Tamandua tetradactyla: one gene and its partner. The protein of the gene in region 1 purifies or fractionates together with the protein of each later gene. This does not show direct contact. Links are inferred from orthologs where the notes say so. Each region holds a gene or a part of one and is shown in the gene's direction. Other genes may lie near its edges.

The links.
Region 2: the proteins of PLD1 (region 1) and ARF1 purify together in Homo sapiens (affinity purification with western blotting; 3 studies listed by BioGRID, with this or other methods). This does not show direct contact. The link is inferred for Tamandua tetradactyla from reciprocal best matches to the Homo sapiens genes PLD1 and ARF1.

Annotation. Positions count from the first base shown.
Region 1 is NC_135331.1:69,252,735-69,260,421, reverse strand, and holds the start of PLD1 (phospholipase D1), read left to right. Parts: upstream 1-4,682; 5' UTR 4,683-4,784; intron 4,785-7,687. UniProt on the Homo sapiens protein: Function as phospholipase selective for phosphatidylcholine. Implicated as a critical step in numerous cellular pathways, including signal transduction, membrane trafficking, and the regulation of mitosis.
Region 2 is NC_135346.1:63,009,767-63,017,254, reverse strand, and holds the start of ARF1 (ADP-ribosylation factor 1), read left to right. Parts: upstream 1-4,410; 5' UTR 4,411-4,542; intron 4,543-4,728; exon of another isoform or gene 4,729-4,920; intron 4,921-7,488. UniProt on the Homo sapiens protein: Small GTPase involved in protein trafficking between different compartments. Modulates vesicle budding and uncoating within the Golgi complex. In its GTP-bound form, triggers the recruitment of coatomer proteins to the Golgi membrane.

The DNA of each region.
Region 1 (7,687 bases):
TGTATTGCATATTAAATCTACCTATTTTCTTAAGGTTTAAGCCTATAGATACTGTTTCATAATGACCCAAACAATAGAAGTAATATAAGATACAGCCTTTGGTTAGAATTTATATTTGTTTGTTGCCTGTAAATCAGAATTTCTAAGAGCAAGTGTTAAATTATACAGCTTGGGGGAAAGAGCTGGTTTCGCCATACTCTGCAGAATGGGGAGAAAAATATTAGAATTGTTATTTATTTTTATCTAAAAAGGAAGAAAGAAATTCAGTGTAAATAAAATATGTTGATGGACATAGACGCCGTCCCTCATGCTTTTCTTGCTGAAGTAAAAATAATTAAATAATACAAGGAAGACAATATGGGACCAAACAAATAACTTTGAAAGATGAATAAATCGCAAAATTTAAGAATCCAAAGTTTTTTAGAACAAACTACACAGTGTAGTGTATACTGTTGGAGGAAAGAATGGCTGTTTCTATAATATCCCAATTTATGCTAGATTGTGCTTTAATTAAATACTAGAGGGATTTTTATGTTTCACTCAAGCACTGGCAATCAACAGGGGCCATACTGCCCCCTTGGAACCTTCTGGAAATTAGAGGACATTTTTGATCAATACAATGATTGGAGGCTACTTACTAGTATTTAGCGGGTGGAGGCCGGGGTGGAGGGGGAGACTAGAAGCTCTGCTGTGCATGGGACACAGTCGTCCTGAACAATGAAGAGTTGTCCCTGGTCCCAGAAAACTTTCAAAGGTCTTACCAGGCATTCATGTAAGTGAAAAACCTGCTGATTCTCTGAGCCCAGAACTTAACAATCTTTTTCATATAAACCACAAATATTTTGGCATATTTTTAATATACACTGCATTTTAAGGGAACACAAACAGTTTACAAATCGAGGGAAAATTGTACTTTGGAACTTTACTAAGCATTGTTCATGTAAAGTTAATTTTTGGAAAATCATGCAGCGAATGGCGACATCTTTTTTAGTCTGCAGTTGTAACTGTCACATTCAAGCGTCAGTATAGAGAAATGGTGGCGACTTGCTACTTAAAGCAGTGGTGTAGAAAATAAACAGGTGAAAACTGTTATACTTCTTGCAAATAAAAACACATTAATTATAAGTCATGCAAACATCTGATTCCTCCATAATGTCTTCTAGAGCGGTCTGTTTGAGCATGTTAGGTTTGGAGAGATATTCTACTATAAATTACTTTCTTTTTGTTCTCCTTTATTGATTGTTAGTTCACTGTATATTTTTGCAATGTTGAATTAACTCCATGTCAAGATAGTAAAGGCTTAGGGTTAAACAGTAAAGTATGTAGCTCTGGTAGGGCTGCACAGAGGAAAGGCGTGTGGAAGGAGAGCAACATTCCCAACAGTATATGATTTTCAAAATAGAAGCAATGTTTTGTGGAAAACTGTGTCATTGTAACTACTGAGGGAACAGCTACTTTAGCTAGAACAAAATATGGATTCTGGGCTAAGGGGACAGAGTGATGACCACCAATGGCATTTATTTACTGCATCATTCAAAGGCAAGAAACTCATGCAGCAAAGAAGTTTAAGCTACTCATGCACAAATTGCCAGAGGATGGCAGCGACGTAGATGACATTATAAAAGCCAGACCTTTAACCTACTGTAAACTATTTATGGTTCTTTGTAATGAGATGATGAGTGATCATGGAAACATTTTGTACTATGGACAAAGTTGCTGCTTAGGTCATGGTAGAGTACATTTCAGACTTGTCAAACTTAGAGGAACTACTAATTCTTATTTTCTAAAAAGGCTGTGTTCTTAATCCTGTGTTTTCTATAGTAAGTGCCTCTCAATTCTATGATAGTAGAGTTTTTGTTTTTTTAATGAATACTGCTACAGCCACTTCTGCCTTTGCTCCATGAGCCCAAATCCAAACCTGGCAGGGCCCCTTGCGCTGTGAGAGTCAGCCCATGGAGCTAGACTATAAGGGGGATAGGATGGTGATGGCAATATAGTGGACAGATCTGCCTTTTGGCTTGGATAGTGCAGCCCCAAATTGTCTTTCTGCCAAGGATATGCACAGTTGGGAAGAAGTAATTCTCTATAAGAAAATGAAACTATCAGAAAAGATGGTGGATGCTGGGCATCCCAAAAGGACGGAGGTCATCTGGACAGTATAGAAACAGAATAAGTACCACAAGGGAAAATCTTGGGGAGCACATCGGTATGCAAACTTTGCAGAGTAGTTTTGTTTTTATTAAAAGCATTAATGCAAATTAATAGGAAGAACAATAATATTACCATAGGGAAAAAAACAGGCAACAGACATGAATAGGTCATTCTCAATGATACAAATAACCAATAAACACGAAGCAAACTGTGTTCAGCATTACTGATAATCAAAGAAATGCTGATTAAAGCAAGATGTTATATTGATCCATCACATTTTCAAGTTTACAAGCAAGATAAGACTCACAGAACCTCAAAAACATTTATGAATGTAGATCTAGTTTTCCACACTCAGGAATCTATCCTAAAGAACCTAGAGACTCAACAAAGACCGATATCCATAGTGCTCGTTCCAACATGATCTCCAAACTTCAGAAATGTCTGAAGACATTCTAAAAGGGATAAATAGATGAACAGATACATAAGTGATTGGAATATTCCACAACCATTCAAAATTATATTTTTAAAGAAAATTTAATGATGGCAAAAATGCTCATTGCGCACACACACACACACACATATATTCAGTGAAATAAGTAGGATTCTAAACTGTACAACATGATGTTAATTTTACATAAGCCTTTATTAATGTATATAAAAAATAAAAAAGAAATATATCAAAATATTAACAATGGGTGTGTGTGTAATATTATAGGTGATTTTGTTTTTCTATGATCTCCAAGTTTTTTTTCAGTGAACATCTGTTACTTTTATTCTCAGAGAAAAGGAGAAAAATTAAGATGATTTTAATATGTCTGATAAAAAAGTCAAATGCATATCTAGCTAGATATATAACAGGATTTCTTAGTGACTCTTTTTTTTGACATCTTTGAATGTGTGAAGGATTGGGGGGAAAAATCCCCAGCAAATACCTGAGGAATATAAAAATAATTACATACAGAATCATACTACTATAAAACTTACCTTTGGCAATCCATAGCTCAAGTTCATCTCTAAACAACATATAGCATGTTTCTATTTTATTCTAGTCAGAAAGCCAGAGATTAAATTTGGGGGGCTTTTAAATAATTTTATTTCTAGTTACATTTAATAGAAAACCTATTGTTTGTAGGTTTGTGCCAAATGTTTATTTTAAATGATGATACTTAGGAATTTGGGATGCAATTTTATAGCATGCTGCTTCTCAACCATAAGTGTTATAATTTCTAAGGACAAGCTCCAAGAGTATAGTCACTTGTGTGAATAATACATATCAAATCATCTGTGACTAATAAAACTTGAGAAGGAAGGGGAGGAAAGAGGGTTTTCAGGCTTTCAATAACATGCTTGTCTTAAACTTGCCAAACTCCTCTTAGGCAATGTTCTGTTTGCTCAGAGGGCCATGTGCTTAATTGTAAAAATCTGTCAGTATCATAAGATTCAAAAGACATCAATCATCTCTTTCAGCAAGGAAAGGGTGACAAGGCTGTATGACTCTTCCCTCATTAGGAAAAGATGTGCTCAAGGGAGAAAAATGTAGTCCAGGGAGGGCTGAGCAACCATAGATTACAGAAAAAGGAGTTCCAGACGATAATTTCAGCCTGTCTGTCTACTTTGGGCTGGATTATTATGTTTTTCATTTCATGTTGCTCCATGTGCAATAAGACCTTGTGTATCTCTGACAGTCTGGGCTGTGTAATATCCACTAAACCCGTTAGAAGTGCCATCGGTATGAAATTTGGGGTATGTGGAGACGATTGCTTCCTTCAGCCTTGGCAGGAGGCAGTACTGTGTAATAAGCTAGGGGCTGGCCTATATTCAAAAAACATATCCCCAAAGGGCTGCTGTTCAAGCCAACTGGTTCTCTTTTTCATAAAACTCTATTTTAAGTGTACTGAAAATGGCAAAGATTGCTGGATTTGGAGCGTTCCACGGGTGGGATGAGAATTTTCCATATTTCACTCCCAATTTCTGAATTATACTGAGCTCGGGCTTTAGAGACATCAAAACACAAATTCCAGTCTCCTGCGTTTTAAGGTGGGCCGTTCAGGGAGTTGCAAGAAGGTTTAGAGGTGAGGCCAGAAAGCTCCTACTTCTGAATTGTATCACCTCAGGCAAGTTATTTCAACTTTTTTGGGCCGCTATTTCTTTATTTGTATGACAGGGCCTCGAGTGGCTACCAGCTGCAGTGGACCAGATGGATCATGTAGGCGAAGCTCCTAGAACGATGCCCGGGCACGTGGGGACTCAAGAGAACCCGAAACGATAACAATGGCTAGGGAACATTCCTTAGGCTGATGGGGTCGGGTTATGAAACTCCGGGAAAAAGAGAGAATAAAAAAACGGGGACAAGGAGAGACGCCTAGTGGCCGGGGCCTTCCTGCCCCGCCGTGGCGGCCAGTGGCAGCCACGACGCGCCCGGCACCCGGCACCGCCTCGCTCCACCCCTGCGAAGCCGGGGCGCAGCCTGGAGGCCAGTTCCGGGCGGCGCAGGGCGCGGGGCCCCTTCCAGCACCCCTGCTTTTTCTCTGCTACCCGCCCCCCCCCCCGGTCGCTCCAGCTGCGCCGGCTGGGCCCGAGCCCCGTAGTCCGCGGAGGCCGTGCAGGTGCCCGCTGCCGCCCTGGCGAGGCAGGTAAGAGACGCAGCGCGCCCCAGGCTCTCGGGGCTCCGGGGAGCCTGGTTCCCGCCGCCCTGGCGCTCCGGCCCTCCTCCCGGGCGGCTGGCCGCTCCCCGCCCAACTTGGACGGGACCTTGGCAGCTGCGTATGCGGCAGGCGCCAGCGCCGCTGGGGCCTGGCGCGATCGCGCCTCCTCGGGGCCCCCGGGGGCCTCCTGGGCACGCCTTTGGGCCCACGTCCTTCAGCGCCGACAACTTGGGCGCGCAGCTTTGCCGAGGCGCGCGACTGCCCGAAGCTCGGAGCTGCGCTGGGGCCCTGGGGTGCAGCCTGTCCGGTGGCCCCAGGCCATCTCGCGCGACCCCGGGTCGCGCCGGGCCGCGCCGACACAGCCTCTGCGTGCGCTCTGGGCTGGCCGGGATGGCGGTCGCGCTGGGACCAGCATCCCGAACCGACCAGGAAGTGCCACGTGCCGAGGGTGGGAGTTGGCCAGGTGCATGGTCCGGGGCAGGTGGTCACACAGCCGCTCCCACGGGACCCGCGATGGGATGACACCGAGGCTGGGGCAGGCGCGGAGGACCTGGGGCCCCGCGTGTGTTCTAGGGCTTGTTCTCCTCGCTCCGGGTTCGAGATATTTGCAACACTCTTCTCGGATCCAGGAGCGCGGTTCCCCGCGACTTCCACTGGATTTTGAGAAGCCCTTCAGAGCCGCCCTGGTAGAATCAGTCCAGCTCTACTGCCACGCCTGCGTTTACTTCTCCTAATCTTGGGCTGTTGGGTTCTTTTTACTTCCTCTGTAAAGCATTAAATGCAAGTGGATTCCGAAGTAACGCAGGCGTTGCTGCATTTGATCATCTTTTCTTCTCTCCGCAGAGTGCGGAGTTCCGTTAACTTTATCAGCCAGGCCTGCCAATTTCAGTTGAGATAACCCAGACTTCCGTGGTGTGTTAAATGGGGTTTTAACTATGGGTGGTGCACTTAAAACTTAAAGGAATGAAAAGAATGCTTCCGTGTGAACTGTGAAAAGATGCCACCTTTACATCCTGCGTATTTTAACAAGAATCTAATTCAGGATTAAATGTTTTGTAGCATATACACAAATGAATTTGCACAGTCTTTTAGCCTGAATTTGTACTCAGCCTGTAAGTGTTGTTTGGTGATCCTTTAACTTATTGTGTGAACTCCCAGCCTGACTTCTCAGGATGCAGTACAATTTAGAATTCCTATAAAAAGCATGAGTAGTTAAGGCTTTTGGGAAAATGTGTTTTTAGCATGCTTGTCCCTGATGTCAGAATATTTATGAACAGTGATCCCTGCTGTATAACATACATTTAGGCTTATTGATTCACGACCTTGACGGTGGGAAACTGTGCTTGTTGGAGAAGTCTCTGATTACTTACTGGGTGTTTCTTAATATAAAATGGTGGTTAAAAAGTTTATTTACCTTTAACTCTATAGGGTGTTAATGATAGCTTTCTTTTTCTCATTAAGCAAGGCATGAGTTTTTTTCATAGCTTTAGAGAAATATACTTTTAAGAGGAAAGGTGGAAATCCATGCCTAAACTACATCTATTAAGTCTTTTCTTCATCAGGGAAGGTCTAATAAATTACTATCTGAGGATAAGCTTGTAACTATTTAAATGTGGCTATAAGGTTATTGTTAAGTAATAAAGAGGGAGGAATAGATAAAGGAGTTATTGTTGGATGGTTTCCTTCTCTGAATATCTAACAGAAAGATAAAATAGTCAATTTTGTCTCCCTTTGCAGTGCATCGCATCTGTCTAAATTAAGCTCGAGCTCAGTTGCTTAGTAACTAAAAGCAGTTTTGATCAAGCTAGCTTCTGGGTGTAGTAATTTCCTGGCCACTCCAGGTGTTTACAAAAGTTGGATGCTATAGGACCAAGCATCGAAGAAATGGCTCTTTAAACTTGCAGTTAGGCTGACTCATAGTGTCAAGAGAGAAGCAGAAGTTGAATAAGGCCTGGTTTTCTGATTACAAAACTTTAGGTCTTAGCACCACAAAGCTACATTTATTCCCCTGCCAGAAAATGGCTAAATGTTGTTGCAGGGTTAAAATAGGAAACCCATAACTTGAATTTCTCATACATCTTTGACATTTCTAATTAGAAGGGAATCATGCAAATCATTGTATCATAGCTACAATGGGAATGCATTCTGATGTGTTCATTTCCCTGAATTCAATGTAAAATTCTGGAGTCCAGATGTTTTAGTGTTGGATTATTAAACAACAGTATATGTTATGTAAGTGTTTCATAGCATCACGATTGTTTTTCTTTCTGTTGTGAACCTTTCTTAAGTTTTAAATGTATTGAATAAACATTTTAGTGCCAGTATTAAATGATTTGTTTATTCAGTAAACACTTATGTGTTGCTTACTTTACGCCAGGCACTCTTCTAAGCTTTTACAAATTTGAATACATTTAATCCTCAAAACAACTCTGTGAAGTAGCTAATCTCATTACGCCCATTTAACAGACCCAGAAAGACATCATTGAGATTTCCCCCTCTTCTCTGCCAACAAATGAATTGTTTTCGGATTTTTATTTTCCTGGTCTTGTCCTCTTCTTGAGGCGTAAATAATTTAACATAATTACAAACATAATGCAACTCAGTCAGTTCCACTCCCTCACTTTTCAGAAAAGGAAAACTAAGGTGGAAAGTGGTTCTGTGCAGGGGTGGAGAGGCTGGGATAGGGTCCTGGAGACCCTCTGCTGACTCAGGTGTTAACTGGTCGTTGTGGGAAGCTGGGGAGGGGGGACTTGGGAGGGCTGGGAGGTCAGTCTGTTTTTTGGGGGTGGGTGTATTCACGGACTGTGAAGAAAGGGTTTCAATCTTTTAATAATCAACATGGCCAAAGCAGATCCAACTGGCTACATAAAGACTGTGTTATGTCAGTGGCC
Region 2 (7,488 bases), on another chromosome or scaffold:
CTATGAACAGCAGAGTGACCCTCATCGCTCCCACTTTAAAAGAGGAGGATCAGAGGGTGGGCCACGGTGGCTCAGTAGGCAGAGTTCTTGCCTGCCAAGCCAGAGACCCGGGTTCAATTCCCAGTGCCTGCCCATGCAAAACACAAAAAAACAATAAAAGATAAGGCTCAGAGCAGAGGCCAGTTACCCAGGCTGGGCGGCAGATGGAAGGATGTCCAAATGCAGCAGTAGCCTGTCTGCTGAGGTCCCCAACCTCCCCTCTGTGGCTTCTCCGGATGTCCAAATGCAGCAGCAGCCTGTCTGCTGAGGTCCCCAACCTCCCCTCTGTGGCTTCTCTGTCAAGAGCCAGAGCCGGGAGACCCCAGCCAGGGACCACTCCAGCAGTCCAGTGAAGCCTGGGGACCCTTTTACTTTTATTTACTTACCCCTGAGCTTTTATTAATGCATAAAATAAATACCCTTTATTACAAAAACAAAAAAACAAAAAAACCCAGTACAGTTAGCAAAAGCTTTAAGCTTTGTGGTATAATAACTTTTGGGGGTGACAGATTTTTCAATATCTTGATGGAGGTGTGTTCACACAGATCAAAACTTATCAAATTGTACTCTCTAACTATGTACCGGCTTATTGTCTTACAATTATATCTCGGCAAAGCGGTAACAAAACAGAAAGAAAAACTAAAGCCTTGTGGAGAAAGGGGGGAAATCTGATCTAGTAATAAAGTCTTTGTCACTGACACCTTCAATAAGGAGAGCTGGCAACAGGCTGACAGCCTCCTTAATTTCAGCTTAGTGAAGAGCATAAACAATATTTTGAGATTCTTGCAACAGCTCTAATGTGACATGAAAATACCTGAGGTTTCTACCCGTTGCAAATCACAGGTCCTGCTTACCCTCCTGTTTTTGTGTGGTGCCTCCATTGGAAGTGGGAGGAAATGCCAAATGTCAGCCAGAGGTTAGTGAAAGAACGATGTGCTCTTCCCCACTCAAGTTCGTGGTCCCTGAGCTGCCTCGGGAGTGGCCAAAAATGGAGCAGACACAAGTCCTTGCCACCTGCAGTGGGCATTCCAGGGAAAAGCAGCGACAAAGCAGAAGAGAGGCATGTGGAGACCCCTGCAGACACCATCAAGGACGCCACCTTGCCTGGTGAAGGCCCACTGCAGGAGTCTGCAGGGGTTCTACCCTGGAACAGCATCCCAGGCAGAGGGAACAGCAAATGCAAAGGCCCAGAGGCAGGAGAGGCCCTGGCCTGTTCCTGGGAATTGAAAGGGGTCCATGAGCTGGACCAGGAGTGAGGAGACCATGGGTTGCACTGGGCATTCACCTTGGAGCCCTAGGGATGAACATAAGGGCAGGCCAGAGTGACCCTGGCTTTGGGGTCTGGTCCCAAGCACTTTCCCTGATGGGGGAATCGAGACAGGAGCAGACTTGTTTGTTAGGGGGAATCAGGTGATGCTAAAAGGGACTGGAGGTGAGAGTGGTCCCCTGAATCAGTTCTCTCCCATCTCCTGGAACTGGACAGTGGTCCTCATGAGCCTTTTAGCTACTGTGTTCTCCGTAGGGAAACCCATCTCCTCTCATGACCCAAGCTCCCCACATGGCACAAGCCAGTGAGGGTACAGGCAGGGCTGGCCCCAGGACCCAGGAAGGACAGGGCCATCTTGGAGTGGGTTGGAGACATGGTGTGGGTGTCGGGCTCTTGGAAAAGACTGAAGTCCAGCTCGCCAGTCATTTGGCCCCCTACTCCAGCCCCCATCTCCTCCTGACTCCCCAGAAGGAGGCAGAGTGGGCAGATGACCACTGGCTGGTTACCTTGGACAGCAGTGAGCAGTTCAAGTAGTTTCAGCCTGCAGCAGCACTGAAGTCAATGACCTCTGAGCTCCCCCTTCCAGAGGCTGTCGGGGTGGAGGGCAGTGGAAAGGGCAAAGGTGGGGGCTGCACAAGACTAGGGGTCATGTTGAAGGGTGGGGCTAAATATTAACCGTGTGACCTTGGGTGTGTTTCCTGACCTCCCTGAGCCTGGATCCACACACAAGAGCTTGCATGGCGAGCTTGCAGGACTTATGTCCATCCCTAGGTTAGGGCTAGGGTCCTTTAGTATAGATAGGATCACCTCCTCTTCCCACCTCCCTCCAGCTAACCTGGCCCACCAGCTTGGTGTCACTGCATGGGGAAGCCACTCTTCCGTTCAGGCCGGTTCTGTCTTGTCCTTCCAGCCCACCTTTCCCAGGACATTTTCCTGTTTGACCCTGGTCATTCGAGCATCCCCGAGGGGAAGAGTCCAATCCTGGGTCCCAGCAAGTCCCTGGCCAGTGGTTGGGTTGAAGATGAAGACCGGAGCTGGGGGATTCCCAGCCTCATGGTGGAATGTGGGGTTTGCCCTCCACCTCCAAGCCTCACCCTCCTGTCATCTCACATGGCCCCAGCTGGCCTGAGACTATGCGCCCCCTCCTGGCCTAAGCTGGGCGGGCACCCCTCTAAGGCCCACTTCCCGGGGCTTCTTTACTACCTCTCTGGCCCAAAGACACCCTTACCCTAGGGGGACAAAACTAGTAGGATAGACTCAGGAGGAATTAAATTTCTTACCCTGGGGTGGGTCCACAGGAATTCATTTTATTTTTTAAATAACTCGCTTCCTTCCTGTGTATGACAGTTTCCACACAAAAATTTTTTTTTGCCATTTTAAAGAAAGGGGAGGAGAGCCTTCGTCCACAACCAGGGTCGCTGGACCCTCCACTGTCTCCTCTCCACTCTCTTCTGTGGTTTCCTTAGCTCTAAAGGGGTTGTAATCAGAGAGGCGTCTGGTCAGGGACCTGCTCCCTGGGAGTGGGGAGTTCACATCACCAGAAGGTACTATGGCCCTCCACACCCCTCCCTGGAGACTCACATCCCTATGGGACGCTCTGCATGAGCACTGTGGGGTATCTGGGGGTGGGACAGAGACTCCTAAACGTAGCAGTGGGATGGAGGTGACTGCAGGGGGAGATGTGGGGGCAGGGGCAGAGGTGTGGCCTGAGTTTGGTTCTTAGAAATGACCAGATCTGGGGGTTACAACTGGGCTGGAGGGCAGGACGGGCAGAGGCCTGTTCACCAGCGTCGAGCGTTTGGGTTGTCTTGGTCCCAGGAGTAAGATTCTTAGTGGGGACAGGAAGGCACAGGGTCATCACTCTCTGAGGTGATCACAGCCCGGCAGGTGCAGCCTCAGGGCAGGGCTGGTGCGATGTCATCATCCCACAGTCAGTGGGTCCTGGCCCTGCCCAAGAGGAGTGGGCGTGCAATGAGTGCACAGAGGGTTGGGAAGCCTCCTGCCAGGCCCTGTGAAACCCTCAGGGCCTGGCTTTGATGCCTCTTCCAGGCAGGCCCCTGGCCTGCTGCTTGAATAGAGGTGATTGCAGCAGGGCACAAATGATGACCCCGTTTTCTGCCTCTTTGAACACTTGGGCACGGGGCTGCAAAGCTCTCCCAGTAATTTCACCAAAACCTCCGGAATGGGAGATACATCTCACAACAGCACAGGGTGGCAGGAGGAGAGAGCCCAGGCAGTACAAAAACAAGTAAGGAGCACTGGGGATAGGCGAGAGGCCCAAGTGAGTTTCCAAAGGGAGGAACAGAGCCAAGCCCTCATGCCTTGGAAACGCGGGGGAGAGCCCGCTCTCGTCCCCTCTTCCCTCTGGATCAGCCCAGGGAGGCTTCTCGGAAAAGGCTCCTCCTTTCCCCACCTTCACACATCGTGCCCTCTCCTGTCACACGGATCACAGTTCCAAGGCCACACCCCAGTAGAGGAACCCTGGCCGTCACTATTCCACGCTCGGAACCCTGTATCCCCTGACTCAGTAAATCATTTACGTTTTTATCATACTGTCAGCTCCAGGGTGCAGGCACATGTCTGTTGCGGTCACCGGCTGTACCGTGGGCACAAAGGCCGGGGAGGGGCAAGTAGGCGCCCAGTGCTGGAACCTGCGGGCGCCCTGGAAACCCCCTTTCCCGCTTGTGGCCACCTGTTGGTGGCAACGGTTTCCACAATACCCGGCCTGGCTCCACGACCGCGCGGCCTTGTCTCCGGCCCGCCACGGGCGCCCGGACCCTGAAGAGGGCGGAGAAAGAGCCGCGGCGCGGAGATGAGCCCGGAATCCCGGCTACCGGACGGCGACCGACCCGGGTCGGAGGAGGGGGCGCGCTATGGCACCTCGGCCCCGAGGTCCACATCCGTAAATGCGCCGCGCGGCCTCAGCACCGAACCTTCAAGGGAAATGCAGACGGAGCGCCCCCGGGTGTAGGTCCGCGCGGGGGGGGAGGCGGAGCACGCAGGACACGGGGCGTGGCGACGCACCCTCGACCCCGCCCCCTGAGTTACGCATGCGCGCCGCGAGCGGGGGAATGGGCGGGGCATACCATATCCCCGCCCCCAATTACCCGGCGTCACCCGCGGCACCAGGCACTGACGTGGCCGCCGTCAGAGCCGCCATCTTGTGGGAGCGAAACCAACGCCTGGCTCGGAGCAGCAGCACCAGCAACAGCAGCAGCCGCCGCGGCCGCCGAGGGGTGAGGGGCAGTGCGGCGGGAGGGCGCGCGAGCAGCTGGGCTGGCCCTGGGGCTCGTGCGTGAGTCCCTGTCCACCCGCGGCGGCGGCGGCGGCGGCGGGACGGGAGGTGGCAAGGCTGAGGCCACTGGGCGGGCGGCGCGGAGCCGGGGCTGGCGCGGAGGGCTCGTCGGGGCCTCCTGAGTCTCCCTCGCTGGCCTCACATCCTGCTAAAGGCAGCAGAGCGTCTTCGCCCGCAGCCGTAGCGGCCTCTCCCTCGCTGGTCCCGAAATCCGGAAATCCGGGCTTTCGCTCTTGGCCTCCTAGGGATGTGGGCTTTTCCTTTAAAAAGCCTTCATTTCCTGCTCCTTTCGAGCCCTCTCCACTTGCGCAGCCGAAAGGTTTGCTTTCTCCTCTGTTCAGAACTGCTCGTTCGGGCGGGAGTCACTGTCGGTAACTGGCGAAGGGAAAGGAAGCCCGAGCCGGAGCCTTTGAGTCATTTGGCTGTGGGAGGGCGGAGGAGGAAGCGGGGTACGTAGGGTTCGAAGTAGGGGGTGTCTCCCACAGGGCGGGTGAACGTTTAGTGAGCTTCCTCCAAGCACCCTCGGGTGCAAACCTCTGAAAAGGGAATTTTGCAAATCTCACTCCCAGGATCAAGAAACCGAGGCTCGGAACAGCTCCGTGACTCGGTCAAGGTCACAAATCTAGGGTTTGAACCCAGGCCTCCTGACTCCAGTTCCTGTTTGCTCTGAAAGTGGGAGTCGGATCTGGAGTTGGCCTGGGTGCTGCTGGGGGAGGGGAGGAATGGCCTGATTGGAGCTGCTTGAGGGCAGCTGCGTTCCCTTGTATTTCCTGATTGAATGCTTGGGTCTTGAAGTCTGTGGACTTCAAGAGAAACCCAGAGTTCCGTCTGAAGATATAATTCGGGTCTATGAACACTTCATAGGAACACCAAGCTTAAAGAACTGCCTTCTAAGTCTGCACTCAAGGCTACTGTGGCCTTTAGAGAACTGATTTATCCTTACTTTAATTCCAGGATTTCCTCCTTGAATGTCACTGGGAATAGATAAGACTCTTTCTTTCCAAGCTGGTGAATTTTTAACCCACATATAAAACAATTTGTTCATAGGATCTAAGCAGTCTTCCTAGCAGAGGTGACTTAATGCTTTCTTGTTGCACAATTCGGGTTGTTCTGGCATTTAGAACGTAATTTTGTTAATAAGGCTTAATTATAAAGTATTTAAACTATTAAGTAATTAATTCAAACAGCACTTCTGAGCTAGGTGGCACTCTCCCCATTTCATCAAAGGGAAAAGGAAGTTGCTGTTTAAATGAACTGAGCAGAATTGCACAAGAACTCATAGCAGGAAATGAAAGGAATTCAGAAGCTTTGGGGTAGTCTCAGAAGTTACTGTTGAGCTGTGTGGTTGGTGTCACTCCTGATGTTGAGAGTTGTCATTTGTAGTTGTGTTTTCAGAACTGGCGGTCAGCAGTTTTTTCTGCTTGCTGTTTTTATCAGAGGTTCTGATGTTTCCTGCAGTATATCTGAAGGAGTGTAAGCTACCACTCGGTCCTTCTGCCTTGATGTCTTCTAGTATTTAACAAAGTGTTACTGCATGTATGGTGTTACCAGTTAATTTGAGTTTTCAGGAATACTGCTGTAAGTAGCTAGAACTGTACGAACTTGAAACCTGTAGCATTAGCTGGGTCGAAAACTAAGAGGAATTAAATGGTTTAAATGCTCATCACAAATCTGGCCGCATTGGTAGAAGTGTATTGTCTTATTAGCATTGAGGTTTTCTGGTGACCTCACATTTGAGGGCATAGGTGGGTCTTGCCCATGAACCTGGGGTAGGGTCCCAAATCCTGGGTGTGCCGCATCATAGGGTGTTGTCTTCAGGAACGTCTCAGTCAAAATAAGTTAGTATCACCCAACCTTAGAAGTATGCTGTTTCTTGTGAGGAGTGTCTGCTGATGTTCAGGATTGCTCTTCCAAACATATTTAAAATGGGTGGTTTGGATAATGGCTGGCTTACATTCTGCCAACTGAAAGGAAGTTAGTAGAAAGCATAGAACTAGTTTTGTGGTCCTTACTGGTCTAGCTTTTAAAAATCACATGTTCTAAGTATTCACTTTACTTCTTGCAAAATATGAAGGGGGTGCTTAGACATCTTCAGCTGCTAATGTCTGTACCAGACTAATTAATGTAAGAGCAGATTGGCTTAGAAAAAGGAGGTACACCCTGGCTTTTTTGCTTTCTGTAAAATTTTTAAATGGCTCATCAGCTGTTAAGGTGCTCTCCAGAGTCAGATGGCCATAGGAGTAAGACTAATCAGGGTAAAAAGTCTGCAAGTTCATATTATAGTATGTTAATTTGATTTGAGTGCGTTTAATCCATTTCTTAGATTTTTCAAATTAATTGTTACCTTGATCTGTGTTAAAATCTGTTTTAAAATCTATGTTAAAATCACAGGTCAGGCTCCTAAAGCTTTGTTTGCACACACCTTCCTGAGGGTTGTGATCGTTTCGCTGTGGAAATGACCAGACCTCAGTATTTGGGGCTTGCCATATTATTCACTGACTGCCCCTGTTCCCACTGTCCCTAATGCAGGCATTCTCCCCTTTGACCTTTTCACTTTAGAATTATTACAAGTAGAAGGGAATAAAATGCTGATGTGTCAGAGGAAGTTGGGAGAGAAACATGAACATTCCTTTCTCTTGGGATTTTAAAATTAAATGAGAACTTACCTTTTTTGAACTGTATCTGCTCCCCATTGACATAGATGTGGCTTCCCACATCATCTGCATTCATTTTAAAAAGAAGATTTTGACCTAATGGTGAGTTGGGTGTGTAACCCTTCCTACTGGAAAGTAAAGGATGGTGAGTGTGAGGGTGGGTGGGGGGTAGGGGATTGAGATTCTGGTTCACACATGCAACATGTATTAGGGTGCTCTATGGAAACACAACT